2 linked regions of the Caenorhabditis elegans genome follow. The protein of the gene in region 2 interacts with the protein of the main gene of each other region in a pairwise test. Each region holds a gene or a part of one and is shown on either strand. Other genes may lie near its edges.

Region 1 (6,093 bases), on a different chromosome or scaffold from region 2:
TGCTGCTTCAACACTTAAAGATATGTTCTATTGATGTGACATACGTGACCGTTGGCAGATAAGCAATAAACCAGGAAAATGTCTGAAAATTAGCTATTTCCCTTTCTTTCAACTTGTGCCACTCTCTCTCTCTCTCTCTCTCTCTCTCTCTCTCTCTCTCTCTCTCTCTCTATTTTTCTCCGATTCCATCCTCTCCTCCTCTTCCCATTCACCTGTTATGATCATTTATCGTCACTGGCGCCGAAGAGACGCAGAGTGATGGGTATGTGGAGGTAGAGAACACATATGGGCACATCCCCCTTACACAAATTAGGTGTGACGGCTTCGAATTAAATTGATCGATGAGCAGTCCGCACCGATGGGACAGTTCCCGGCATATTGAACAAAACAGTGTCTCAGGCTGGTTAAGACACAATTTTATGCTACACGGTGTTGTCACGTAGATTGCGGTTGGTAGAGTTTGCAGGGACGCAGAGAGGCTAGAGACTTTGGCTGTCTGCACTCTCTCCTCGCCTTCTCACCATGTGGCCGCGAGATATATTGATGGCCGAGTTTTCTCCATTCATAATGAAACAAGTCCCCCGGATGGCCAGAAATGGTTTTTATAACTTTGTTTGTGGGTGACCTAGTTCTCTCAATTGTTTCAGATAATTTAAACTATTTTGCAGAATGGACTGTTCACATTTCTCTATCATTTTATTTTTTGCTCGCTGAGCATTTCTGATCTTTTGATGATGTACTTTTTTACTTCCTTCGTCATTCCCACCCTGAACGATAAACTAATTTCCCTTTCGATTAATGCTTTTTCTTTTCCAAAATTGCACTTTTATCATTTTCAAAGAAGAAAAAGAGATGGCATGACAATTGTCAGATGATTCTGAGGTTCGACTTTATTAAAATTAGCAATGTTTTTTTTTTATGTTATGGAGAATTTTTTAAATAGTTCTCCACTGACTCACTGTTGAATAATTTTTACTTGTAGAATTGTTTCTGTGGGAGAAGCATTCAAAAATTAATCACATCTATTTTCAGAATTCCACTCCTTATTTTAGTTGTTTGTTGTTACATGTACTTATGTACTTAGTAATTGACACATTGCACAATTATTTAAATGCGTGGTAAAGTGCACAAAACAAAGAGTATAAGAATATAGTTTGGTTTTCATAGTTGGAATGCTGGACTGATTGCTGGAATGTTGGAATGTTTGTTGTGGTAGGTCGGTGTGTCTGCTGTAGTTAGGGAGTTTTCCCTAAATCCAAGTTTTCAAACACACTTCATCCTTTCCTTGAAAGCACAATTTAAAAAGAAATAAATCATATAATTGGAACATTTATTTTTAAATTGAGATCCCATTGCTGTTTGATTTGTCCCTTCTTTCTGATCTTCATCCTTAATCGTCTTCTTCCGTTGTCACCTCGAATCACAACTTCATTTATTCTTCATTATCTGATTATCACCAACCGTTCTAAGTAAGCACCTCCCATTTTCTCCATTCAGCTCTCCCGTATTCTCTGCTTCCCGTGACTCCGCCTCTTTTTTCAACTTTTTTGTGGGTTTGCTATCATTTTCTATCTCTCAATCTTTGTCACTTTGTTCTCGAAAAACGTCTGAATTGGTCGAATAATGTTTCATCCAGGTATGACATCTCAGCCGTCTACTTCTAACCAAATGTATTATGATCCTTTGTATGGAGCAGAGCAAATTGTACAGGTGAGCACTATATTGTAGGAGACAGTTCAAGAGAGAGCGCGAGAGAATGAGAGAATATGAACATTTTTGGGGAACACTTATCTATTATAGTAGTCTAGTAATTGCTTCTGATTCTTAAAATACAAATAAAACTGTCTTCGTGCTTTGCATTTAGAAACTGAAGTACAAAATTCAGACAATATTAATTTTAACTATTTCAGTGCAATCCAATGGATTACCACCAGGCAAATATTTTATGCGGAATGCAGTATTTCAACAACTCGCATAATCGATATCCGGTTGGTTCAGTGATATTTGAAAACTAATTCTCTCAAAAATAAAATGGACCTCATTTTACTATTTTTCTGCATATGTAACGAAAAAATCAATAAACTTATATCCCAGTGACCAAATCGATAAGCTTTTCAAAATTTATTAAATCAAAAAATTTCAGTTATTACCTCAAATGCCACCACAGTTCACAAATGATCATCCATATGATTTTCCGAACGTGCCGACAATAAGTACTCTTGACGAAGCGTCTTCTTTTAATGGATTTTTGATACCTTCTCAACCATCTTCATATAACAATAATAACATTTCTTGTGTATTTACGCCTACACCATGTACATCATCACAAGCTTCATCCCAACCTCCACCTACACCTACAGTCAATCCAACACCGATTCCACCGAATGCTGGAGCAGTTCTCACAACTGCAATGGATTCATGTCAGCAGATTTCACATGTTTTACAATGTTATCAGCAGGTAGAAGGGGTCTTTGAAAAATAGAAAAATTTTAAGTAAAAATATAATGTTTTAAAATACTTGTTTTCCTATTAAAATACATTTCAAGTTGTATGGATTTTAAGTTTTCAAAAAAAATTGCTGAGAAAGTTGCATATTCATATCTGCTTGGGATTTATGAAAATTTTCGAACCAAAAATTTAGATTAAACTGAAACTTCTCTACATTTGAAAATAACGTACTAGACTTGAAATTTTTATTTGATTTCCTCTGATGAAATCATTGAATAAAACTCTGAAAATTTCAGAGCTCCAGAATTTTTTCTTTCTTGTAAACTTTAACATAAAACTTTAGGAAAGAAAAAACTCTGGAATTTTTACAAAATAGTTCTGAAACTACTTTTCCACTTTTATTTTTCAGAACAATTTTGAAAAAGGTATTCCAAAACTTGTCAAGCAAAACAAAAGAAGTTTTAATAATTAAAAAAAACTCCAAACTACAAAACAAACATTGTGGGTACGGCAGGCGCCAAGATAGCTGTGGAATTTGAAAACTGGAGCATTGAAAGAGAATTAAACAATTTACACGTGTTTCAGGGTGGAGAGGACAGTGATTTTGTACGGAAAGCCATCGAATCTCTTGTCAAAAAATTGAAAGACAAACGAATTGAATTGGATGCATTGATTACAGCAGTTACTTCAAATGGAAAACAACCAACTGGATGTGTTACTATTCAGGTTTGAAATAATACAACCTTTTGCTTCTGTACAGTAACCTAAAATTTTTTATTTTATGCTTGGAATTTTCGAAAATTTCAAAATTCCAGATATAAATTTCAGCAGTTTATGGGTATTTCAAAGAGAAAAACATGTTGCTTGCCAACTTTCTAAAATAACCAACAAAATTTTCAAATTTTTTTTCGTGAATTTGAAGTAAAATAATAATGTCAAAGTTTTTTCCGGTTTGAACATTTTAAATGGATTTTTGTTAGTACTTCCGATTCTTCAATTTTAAATACAGTTATCATCTTTAAAAGTTTAGAGATCCTTGGATGGACGCCTTCAAGTTGCTGGACGGAAAGGTGTTCCACATGTAGTTTACGCAAGAATATGGAGATGGCCAAAAGTTAGCAAAAATGAACTTGTGGTACATGAAAATGTTTGAACTCGGAAATAAACTGAACTATTCCAGAAATTAGTTCAATGTCAAACTTCATCAGATCATCCTGATAATATTTGCATTAATCCTTATCACTACGAAAGAGTTGTCTCAAATCGGATAACAAGTGCAGATCAATCACTTCACGTGGAGAATTCACCTATGAAGAGCGAATATTTAGGAGATGCAGGAGTTATTGATAGCTGCAGTGATTGGCCGAACACACCTCCTGATAACAATTTTAATGGTAAGAGTTGAACTCCAAAACTGTAAGTAGAGGTGGCTGCTCTCTCTCTCTGACTTTTATGCCTGCCTACGTACCTTCTAATACTTATTTGTTTGATATGGATGTTTAGTGAAGATAAAGGGTAGATAGAGGCATTTCTCATCTGCCCAAGATGAGCATGAATATATTTAATACAAAATCAACACTGAGAATTTTAGAGACCGATTTTAAATGTGACCCAATTTTTTTCAGGAGGATTTGCACCAGATCAACCTCAGCTAGTCACACCGATTATTTCTGATATTCCGATAGATCTCAATCAAATATATGTTCCAACACCTCCACAATTACTTGATAATTGGTGTTCAATCATTTATTATGAACTGGATACACCCATTGGTGAAACCTTTAAGGTATGTTTTTCTATGAAATCTGATGACTATTCATTCATGGTGCAAATCGCCTAGAAATTTTTGTGAAAGAGCGTGATTCTATCAAAAATGTGCAATGGCGTTATTAAATAATTTTAATTTTCTAAATTTTAGGTCAGCGCCCGCGATCATGGAAAAGTAATAGTAGATGGTGGAATGGATCCACATGGAGAAAATGAAGGAAGGTTATGTCTTGGAGCACTTTCAAATGTTCATCGAACAGAAGCTAGTGAAAAAGCAAGGTAATTTTAATTCAGGATCATGAAGAAAAATATAACACTGTTTTGCAGAATCCATATTGGTCGTGGTGTTGAATTAACCGCTCACGCCGATGGCAACATCTCTATCACTTCAAATTGTAAAATTTTCGTCCGATCCGGGTACCTAGACTACACTCATGGATCCGAGTACAGTAGTAAAGCACATCGATTCACTCCGAATGAATCTTCATTTACAGTATGTTCCCATTCAGGGAGTTTTACAAATGATAGAATGTTACAGGTATTCGACATCAGATGGGCCTACATGCAGATGCTCCGACGTTCTCGATCAAGCAATGAAGCAGTACGAGCACAGGCGGCAGCTGTTGCTGGATATGCACCGGTTAGTAGTAATTTGCAAGCAAAAAAACGACTCGACGCACCATATGGTGCATCATATGATCAGTGTACTGATTTTCTGCACGGACCCAATGCCATAGTTCACTTAAAAATTATTAGTGAAACTGACTAAATTTGCGACCAGGGTGATGTATTATTTCTGAGAATCAAAGATTCAATTTACCCTGATGATGCTTCGGGCATCAGCTAGCTAATTGTACACTTTTAATTCACAGACTCAAAGCATCATATATCACGAACACGAACAAGCAAAGCCTGATACCCAAGTTTAAAAAATATTTAAAAATTCAGATGTCCGTGATGCCAGCGATAATGCCTGACAGTGGAGTTGACAGGATGCGTCGTGACTTCTGTACAATTGCGATTTCATTTGTAAAAGCTTGGGGTGATGTCTACCAGAGGAAAACTATTAAGGTATGTCGACTACTCTATAAGAACTAGTCACCAATGACTTTTTTCCAGGAAACCCCATGTTGGATTGAAGTAACTTTGCACCGTCCTCTACAAATACTGGACCAGCTTCTCAAAAATAGTTCTCAATTTGGAAGTTCCTAACACTTATTTTTTATTTTTCTTCAATAATGATATCTACCTGTATTTACGTACCCCAGCAGTTTCTCATATTCATGTGCGTTGTAAAATCTCCTTTTTTGAATTTTTTCACTTTGGAAATAAAGTTTTTAGCATAGTAAATACAACCACACTATGTAAAAATAGGTTGCAGGAAAAATCAAAGAAATTTTAAAAAAATGAGCGGTTGAGTTTTCTCTTTTGGTGGCCGCGTTGACGAAATGGAAGAATCAAACCATATGCACCATTGTCATCATATTTACTTACCCAGAGCCATTATGGTTGATTGAAAATTCATGGTTGAATTCTCACATATGGAATATCATTCCCACGAATTCCCACTAATTTCTTCAATGAAGTTCAAAATAAGAGTGCTCGACGGTCTCTCCCCTCTGTGCCAGTGACAAAAAAAGTGCCCCATTCCGGGAGAATTATGTCCCTTGAGAACCATTTTGCCAGGGGCCGTGAGTGTGTCGCCCCCTTTCTACTCTATCCTAGTGGCCCTTTGTCTGTGCGACACAAAATATTCCAAAAGTAACACTATCATTTTTATTGTCTTCTCCTACACTCATCCCCATTTCACTGAGCCATTCCTCTGAATGTTGCAGTTTTATGTGCAATTTTTTTCAGAAATCACAGAGTTTTTCTTTT
Region 2 (7,964 bases):
TTTGGAAAAACCGGTATCATGTTTTAAAAAACTAAAATAAATTTCAGAACCGTTAAATGCTCCAATAAAGTTTCCAGAAACTAATTTGAAACATAAATAGTTTTTTTTTAATTTATATTTCTCAAAATATCCTCAATGAATGCTCGAAGATATATTTAAATTCGCTATCCCAAACTTACCATAGAATCGAATATTTATCCGAATAATCAAACAGCCAGATTCACACTTTTATTTCATCAAATTCCCATTTCCTCGGTTACCGCCCAGACATTTTTTTTGTTCATCCGGTATTATTTGAACTCATCTATTGAAATAAATTATTCAAAATTCACTTCTCTTTATATGATTTTGATTGGTGAACCCTTTTCCTTAAAATTCGATTAAGTTGAGTTACTAATTTTAAAACCACCAGTAAGTTTTTTTTTTAAATTAGTTTTAAAATTTTGATTTTAGAATTAACAATATTTTAAGTTTTAAAATGCATATAACAATGTCGGTTAATCATTTTCGAACAGCTTATACTAGTAGATTTGATATTTTGATAAATTCAGTTGAAAAAAAAAAGATAAGGTTCGAGTCATTGTGGCTACCAAGTGATTAGCAACTGCCACATTTGATTAAACCAACTGACATCTTTTCTTTTTTTTCGGGCGCTGAAGCAGAGAACAACTACGGAGAACAGTGTTCATAAGATCAAATGTCGGTTCAAAAATATTTAATTAAACGGAAATACTTGATGTTAAAATGTTTGGGCTAATTGTATCAAAACACAAAATTTTAAGGTTTAGAAAATTCTTTATTTGGTTTTGATTAAGTTAAACCTAATATTTTTCTCAAACTTCAAGCAGTTACTGCAAAAAAAAAACACAAAAACACAATTGAATTCAAAAAAATGTAAAGAAAAATAACAGAACTTACAAGTTAGTGCTGCATTTTTAAGCGAAAAACGTTCCGAATTCTAACTGAAGTAATGAGAATTATTTCATATAGGCATGTATTTCTAACGATCAAATAATTTGGAAAATGAATGATATTTCCTAGAAAAAATTAAAAGTGTGGGAAAAAATATTTTTAAAAAAATAAATGTAATATTTTCTGATAGTGAGGTATTTTATGAATTCTAACCTTTGAAATAGGATTTTAAAAATGTTTTTATTATTCCATAATATTTCATATGTAGAGACAAAATCTGAGAAATAAAATTTTAAAATTAAAATTTTAATGTAATCCTGCTAGAACATATAGTTTTATATATAGTTCGCGACTTCAGTTTCTAGACTTGCACTCAAAAAAGAAATAAATTGTCTTCCATCTTCCATCCACAATAATTGAAAGCAAAAACGAAGCACAAACTCACAAATACACACACTTTTTTCTCGGATCAAGATTTTCCTAGCAGAAAATCCATCGTCGTTTTCGCTTATTATTACAGACCAGGAAGACAGTAAAATGTTATCACCAACACCACTTTTTGCAGTGTAAGTTGCTCTATTACTTTTTATCGCTTTCAGAGAGGGTATTCCTGATAAATTTTTTGTTTCGTTTATTATATGTTTAGGGTCTGTCTGATTTCGGTTTATGTTACTTTTTTAAGCAAAAAAAAACTTGAGCCATTTGTGTTTTCATCATAAGCATTTTATGTTTGCTCTTTGATTATAACTGTATTCTTTTTGATGGAGTGTTCTGTTGAGCATGGCGAATGAAACCAAAACAAACTGAAATTTTGTTTTTGTCAAATAATCATAGTAGTAAATGTTTTGATTTTCCACGTATCGATTAATGAATAAACCGATAATAATAAAAAAAGTGAAACCAGCAGTTGTTTCTACTTTATTTTTTTTTGTTGGAAGCCTTATCACTGACAATTTGCTTTTTCTGATTTTGCATGTTGTTTCAATTTTTCAACAAACTTTATATTCAAATTTTCAAATTTTCAGTTACAGAATTCAAATGGAAACTGCCAACTATTACTTACCTTCACCACCGTATTCTTCCACTTCCAGCTCTGATTCCAGAGGTGGGACATTTTCAAAAAAAAAAAACACATTCCAACGAGTATTTTTAGAAAGTCGTATGAATACACCCATACCTACCACCTACTCTGAAGAAAATGTGAACAGTTTATTTCATCTTATGCCAGATAATACTGACCAATGGATGACGTCACAGAAAAATTTCTGGCAGGAAGGTTTGTTTTCATTTTTGACTGTTCTCTATGTTTCACAATATTTTGACAACTTAAAAACAAACATGGGGGGGGAGGGGAGAAAACTTAAAATAATTTATGAATCTAATATATCTTGAAAAACGAGTTGTATTTTTCCTTTCTTTTTACTTTCCAATCCACTTCTGTTTTGATTAAACAGTCAAGACAAAGAAAAATAATACAATTGGGGAAACGTTTAAGAATTAAAAATTATGACCGACCGCTGTAACTTCTGATAAAAGGATTTGTTTTTTTGGAAAATTGAACGAATTTTGGAAAAAAAACTTTGGATTGTTTTAACTACTGTCATTATTTAATTGCGTATATTCTTACCATATTTCCTATCCTTGCTTCTTGACACAGTATCCTTGACACAGTTGAGCAATTTGGTACGGAGCTCAGGTGAGAAGGAAGCTAGATGTCTATATTATATTGCTAATAGCTCTCATGATTTGAAAAAAAGTCAACATATTTTTTCATTTGATGCGTCTGCTCCATTAAAAAAAAGGATTGAAGGACGATCCGTTCTTCAAGTGCTATGCACTGCGGATCTGGGATTCAGGTACACTGCCTGGTGGTGATCCCTCTGGGCTGTAATTTGAGCCACGTCCTAGCCGGGGACTGTGGCCGATAATCCAGTCGTGGATTGCTCCACTTCCCAACAGAGGCTGGGTGAACCTAGGGGGTGAGGCCGGACTTGAACTCGTGACCTCCAGACTGCTAGCGGCCACCACTACCGACTGAGCTATCTGCCCCCCCCCCCCCCTTTGTTTCGAGTTTGTGATAAATTTTTTCAAGATCTTTGATTGAATTGAATTGAAACAAAATCATGAGATTTTTCAATGCTTGTCGTCCTCTCAGTTAGATGTATTTTCTGCGATTCGATTTTATTGTCTTACAAAATCGCATAGCTCCGCTTGAATCAAGAAGCATCTATGTCCTTGTACAGTAGTTTAGATTTATAGATTTGTGTTTCACTAAAAATCAATTACCAAGATTTTAAGTTAAGGTCTTCCCACTTTAATATAAATTAAACTGAGTAATATGAATTTAATTTAATCATGTATTAAAGACAATGTATTGTCAAAAAAGAATTTACACAAATACACTGATTTAATCGAACATTTTAGTATTTGAAAAATTTCAGTCAAAGTTTTGATAAATTGCCAAACTTTATAATTTTTTTTTTTGAAAACTTGACTTTCGGAGAAATTTCCTAGACTGCTACAGATTTGAACTTCCACAATGTTCAAATACAATAAGAGTAAAAAATTAATAAAATACAATATAAAACTCAAAAAATAGTTTTTAGTTGAATTTCAAAGTTGTTATGGATGAAATCTGTATAATTGCTATTGTTTAACAGTTTATGAGCAACAATTTTAAGTTATACTATTTTATTTAGAGTACCATAGGGGTTATATTGAAAACAATGTTCCTGTGACAAATTTTCATTAGTGTCAAAAAACATGGTAATCCAATTAGCAAAATAAAAAGAATATTAGACTTATTTTAGGCTTTGAGACATGCATATTTGTTCCTGAACTGAGTCGCTACCTCATTCAGATAATGATGGTATACCATGTGGTCTTCCATCACTATCAATTTCACTTGTACTTTGGTAATTTGGTAACCCTTTTACACCGAAATGCCGATGGACATATCAAATGTGAAGACATGTCTATTTTGTTTCTACTGTTTCAACATTCACTTTTTGCAAAATGTGACACGTTGTTTCACGGTCATCGTCGTCGACAAAACGAGAGGGGCCGCTGATGGGGGTACGGTCTTTTCGTTGACGTCTTCTCAATCTTCTTCTCGAAAATTGGACACTTCGTGCGCACGATTGCGGCCCTATCTTCTGCCTCAATCACAACTTAATCATTATCGACTGCGATTGTTGCGACGGGCCGGGAATGTCTGCCTCCTTCTTCTTGACGCGTTGACGACATCTTCATCCTTCTCCATTCTCTCTTTCCGTTTTCCTCTCCGAACAATTTGTAACCCGTTGCGACGACGAGACCTATGTTACTGTGGCGATGAGGGGTAGAAGGAGAAGGATTCTGAGCGTACGCGCTGCTGTTGGCCTCCGGATATCAACTGATATTTTGTGTTGTTGGGAGTGACAAGAACAATTGCTTTCTCTTCCCGAATATTGTCGTTGTCTTCAACAATTCACAAACTCACGACCTCTTATGGGCGGAGTAAAAGAAGGCGGCAACTGAGAAAGTGATTTCTGTGTATCATTCTTGTAACTGGACTGCGAACTGTATTCCCTATCTTATCTTCAATATTTTCTTTTCTTATCATTAAGGGTTTCAAACTTTTTCTCCACTTAATCTAGTCTAACTAGAGGACGGGATTGGGGATTGCCCCTATTATGATCTTTCCAACTTTATTTTAGTTAACAATCTTATCACGACCCATCATGTCTAGCCTGATAACAATGTGTTAGTTATCAAATTTCGTAGAATTTGGCGCTGGCGCCATTCCTCCTACGATTCGCTGATAAGGGATAGGTGACGGAAACTAAAACTGATTATATCCGAAAAATCCGTGAAAACTAATGAAAAAACAAAACCGTGGAAAAAGAATCTACCGTATCCCGCTTGTACTTTGACCATTCGTTCTGCAATGTGACTTGCCAGCAACTAAAATCAATGGCAACACCACAGTACATTGCTATAAAAATACTGATCGGGAGAGAAAAAAGAAATGGATGGTACCTCTTTCTTTTTTGGGCAGTATGAAGTTAGAGACAAATATTCAACCTCCCCCCCCCCCATTCTCTTCATCCTCTCTAACCCCGTCTTATTGTTAACAGTCGCCATCAGTCCATCGTCTTCTCCTTCTTCTTCTTCTATTCCTTTTCTCCTCTTTCGTCCCGACCGGCCAGTAGTATCGTCTTATTTCTCGAGAAGGGCGGCGCAAGACAAGTTGCATGGTCACTTGTATACCGTAGTATTACCGTGAATCGAATCATCACAATCCGCGCCCGTACACGCCCGATATCATTTCTCGAATGTTAAACAGCAATTTTTCAGTTGATAACGTATCATACTACTAATTATTTAGATTAACAAGATTTTAGCGTATCAATTTTTATCAGTCAAGTACACTGTTCACTCAAATGAAATACCAATTGAGATATGATGTAGACTAATTAAATTTTAAAATAGTAATATCTTTATATATATATATTGTGCCTGATATTTCCCAATTCACAATTTTTTTGAGAAGCGAGGTCATGCTCCTAAAATCGTCAAGAATGTGTCATCACAAAATACACATAGACTGTTTCTCCAGTGCCATCTTCCAAACAAACTCTTTTCTTCTAGTACTTCTCATGCTCGATTCGATACACAAAACTGAGAATGGCATGCTTGTACAACATGCTTGTAAATCTTGACTCCCTCTTAAAGAATAAAAAAGGTTGCTCATCCATGATTCGTATTGGCAAAGCTAACACACAACCACCGTTTTATGAGTATGCATAGTCACCTCTCTTCCTATTTGTGTATTCTTTGTTGCATTTGCCGCGTTTCGTTTTTTCACTCCCACGTTAGTTTTTTTTTGTTGAGTTTTCAAACTTGAAACCTTGCAGGCTCGCCTTCATCGTCGGAATACCTGCATCAACAGGCTGTCCAGCCATCTCAGCAAGCTCGGCTACCTGGTATTTCAAACTTCATGAAGGACTCTCAACTTTCCGTGAAACCAGCTGCATATTACTGTAAGTTGAGCGCGGCTGACCTTCGGTCTTAACCGCAATGCCAACGCGCAGTAATCAGTCCGCGCGGGATCGTATCTTTTTGGTGTACCGACAAAGAAGTTTAGGAGCTACTTTCGTATGTGTCAAGCAATTTGGAATAATTGTGGTATATAGAAATATCTAAATAAGAAAACAGTGCTATTATAATTATTGTCTTAAAAAATTGTTCCTCGAAGTATACTGCCATCCGTCAGGTGTATACTTCTATTTCTATTTTTTTTAGCTCTCTCAGCTTAACAAAATTTTTTTAGAGGGCCATTTTGAGGTGCTGAATCCTCAAAGAGTGTTTGTAGGTAAATTTGGAACTACTTGTTTTCGCCGTAATCAGAATAAGTAATCATTTGATATTGATCTTCCGAAACGCGCATTTTGAGACTCTTAACTATTTTTATACCAAGTTACTAATGTTTTCCAGCTCAAGGTAGTCCAACGATGAACGATTATCGAGTGGAAAAAGTGGCCAACACACTACTAGATCCATATGTTCAACTTGACCAACCGACCTATGCGGACTTCACTAATGCGTAAGTGCACATTCAATTCTGAACATTGTTCTTTTTCCTTACTAACTTTACTCTATTTTTTTTTCAACAACTTTTCTTATTTGTCTCGCATTGTATTATCAAGGTCACTCAAATAACCAACTGTAATCAATCATCGCGACCGCAAAAAGAATAGAAACTTCCACCAGAAGTTGTCATTATCATCTTCTTCTACTCCTTCATCATATTGAAATTGTCATCCATCATCTTCCAATATTCTATTCCTTAATGAACCCGTTGTTCTATTCCAGACAGGTACTGAACCATCAGCAAGAAATGCTCCAGATGAACTTCCCAACACCATTATCCACAAGTTATATGAATACAGCACAAGTCACACAGACACATCAAATGCCGTTCAATATTTTTGAATTGGTACGTCACATTGGTAGAAACATTTTAAAAACTAAAAAACTAAACTAGGGCTAGATACTTCAAATGTTCATATGATCGCATCAGCTTTTTTTGAGGGTATTAATTGGAATAATTGTGATAGTCTCAGGCACCTTATTGATTAATTGAAAATTTGCCTTAAGTTTTCGAACAGTAAGCTGCATGATCTGTTCGTGTTTAAAGTCTGAGCTGTTCAAAAACCTGTGCAGTATTAAAAACATCGAAAGTTGAATTTTCACAGTGCAGGGATTTGTATACTCCGTTATTTTAGAGCGATCAAACTTCTTGACAATATTGATATTTTTTATCAATTTGAAAACGTTCTAGCAGTTTTAAATGCCCGAAAAATTTTAATTCTCTACTATTTTCAGAACCTTTCAAACTTCGCAACATTCCAACCAGCCTGTGACACTCCCCTTCCACTTCTCAACAGCTCACCAACGCATCCATACACAACAATGTCAAACTTCACACCTCCACCGCAAGACCCGCTTGTCGCCGAGCCGAAGCCGATGAAAAAAAGAATGGCAGTACGCAACATACTAGGTTGATAACTAACTAGATCCGATTTTCAGGCTGTACAATGTCATCAAAATTCCATCTGCTCAAATTGCAAAACACGTGAGACGACGCTGTGGCGACGAAATGGAGAAGGAGGTGTCGAGTGCAAGTGAGTGATTGATTTGATCATACGGGACTGTATCTATGTGTTTCAGCGCCTGCAATCTCTACTTCCGGAAAAACAACCGAAAACGTCCACTGTCTCTTAGAAAAGATGGAATTATGAAGAGAAACCGACGTCCTAGAAATGAGTCTCCAAACTCTGCAATCAGGAATACCCATCAGAGACATGGACACGCAGCTGCTTGTTGAGCAATTTTAGTTGTCTAATTTCCCAATTATTTTTTTGATTTTGAATCAATCAGTTTTCGAATTCAATGTACACAATAAGCTTCTCCGAATATGCCAAATTTCCGACGAACCTCCCACGACTGAAACTTGATACCTATCCTCTGTAACCTAGTAGCTCTGGTAGAGTATCTTGCCATTCGCA

The links.
Region 1: the proteins of elt-3 (region 2) and sma-4 interact in a two-hybrid assay, tested with the Caenorhabditis elegans proteins (one large-scale study listed by BioGRID).

Annotation. Positions count from the first base shown.
Region 1 is NC_003281.10:5,814,639-5,820,731, forward strand, and holds sma-4 (Dwarfin sma-4), read left to right. Parts: upstream 1-1,593; 5' UTR 1,594-1,638; coding exon 1,639-1,710; intron 1,711-1,910; coding exon 1,911-1,988; intron 1,989-2,143; coding exon 2,144-2,458; intron 2,459-3,033; coding exon 3,034-3,174; intron 3,175-3,478; coding exon 3,479-3,583; intron 3,584-3,628; coding exon 3,629-3,842; intron 3,843-4,073; coding exon 4,074-4,234; intron 4,235-4,366; coding exon 4,367-4,494; intron 4,495-4,542; coding exon 4,543-4,708; intron 4,709-4,753; coding exon 4,754-4,855; intron 4,856-5,163; coding exon 5,164-5,286; intron 5,287-5,334; coding exon 5,335-5,427; 3' UTR 5,428-5,559; downstream 5,560-6,093. Other genes in the region: R12B2.7 (Ovule protein), read left to right, coding at 596-616, 669-875. UniProt on the Caenorhabditis elegans protein: Involved in TGF-beta pathway.
Region 2 is NC_003284.9:13,932,933-13,940,896, forward strand, and holds elt-3 (Transcription factor elt-3), read left to right. Parts: upstream 1-1,950; coding exon 1,951-2,017; intron 2,018-2,065; coding exon 2,066-2,188; intron 2,189-4,055; exon of another isoform or gene 4,056-4,327; intron 4,328-5,810; coding exon 5,811-5,936; intron 5,937-6,396; coding exon 6,397-6,499; intron 6,500-6,768; coding exon 6,769-6,892; intron 6,893-7,281; coding exon 7,282-7,440; intron 7,441-7,485; coding exon 7,486-7,580; intron 7,581-7,626; coding exon 7,627-7,783; downstream 7,784-7,964. UniProt on the Caenorhabditis elegans protein: Transcription factor. Required, in concert with signal transducer and transcription factor sta-2, for up-regulation of the vacuolar H(+)-ATPase and acceleration of lysosome maturation at molt.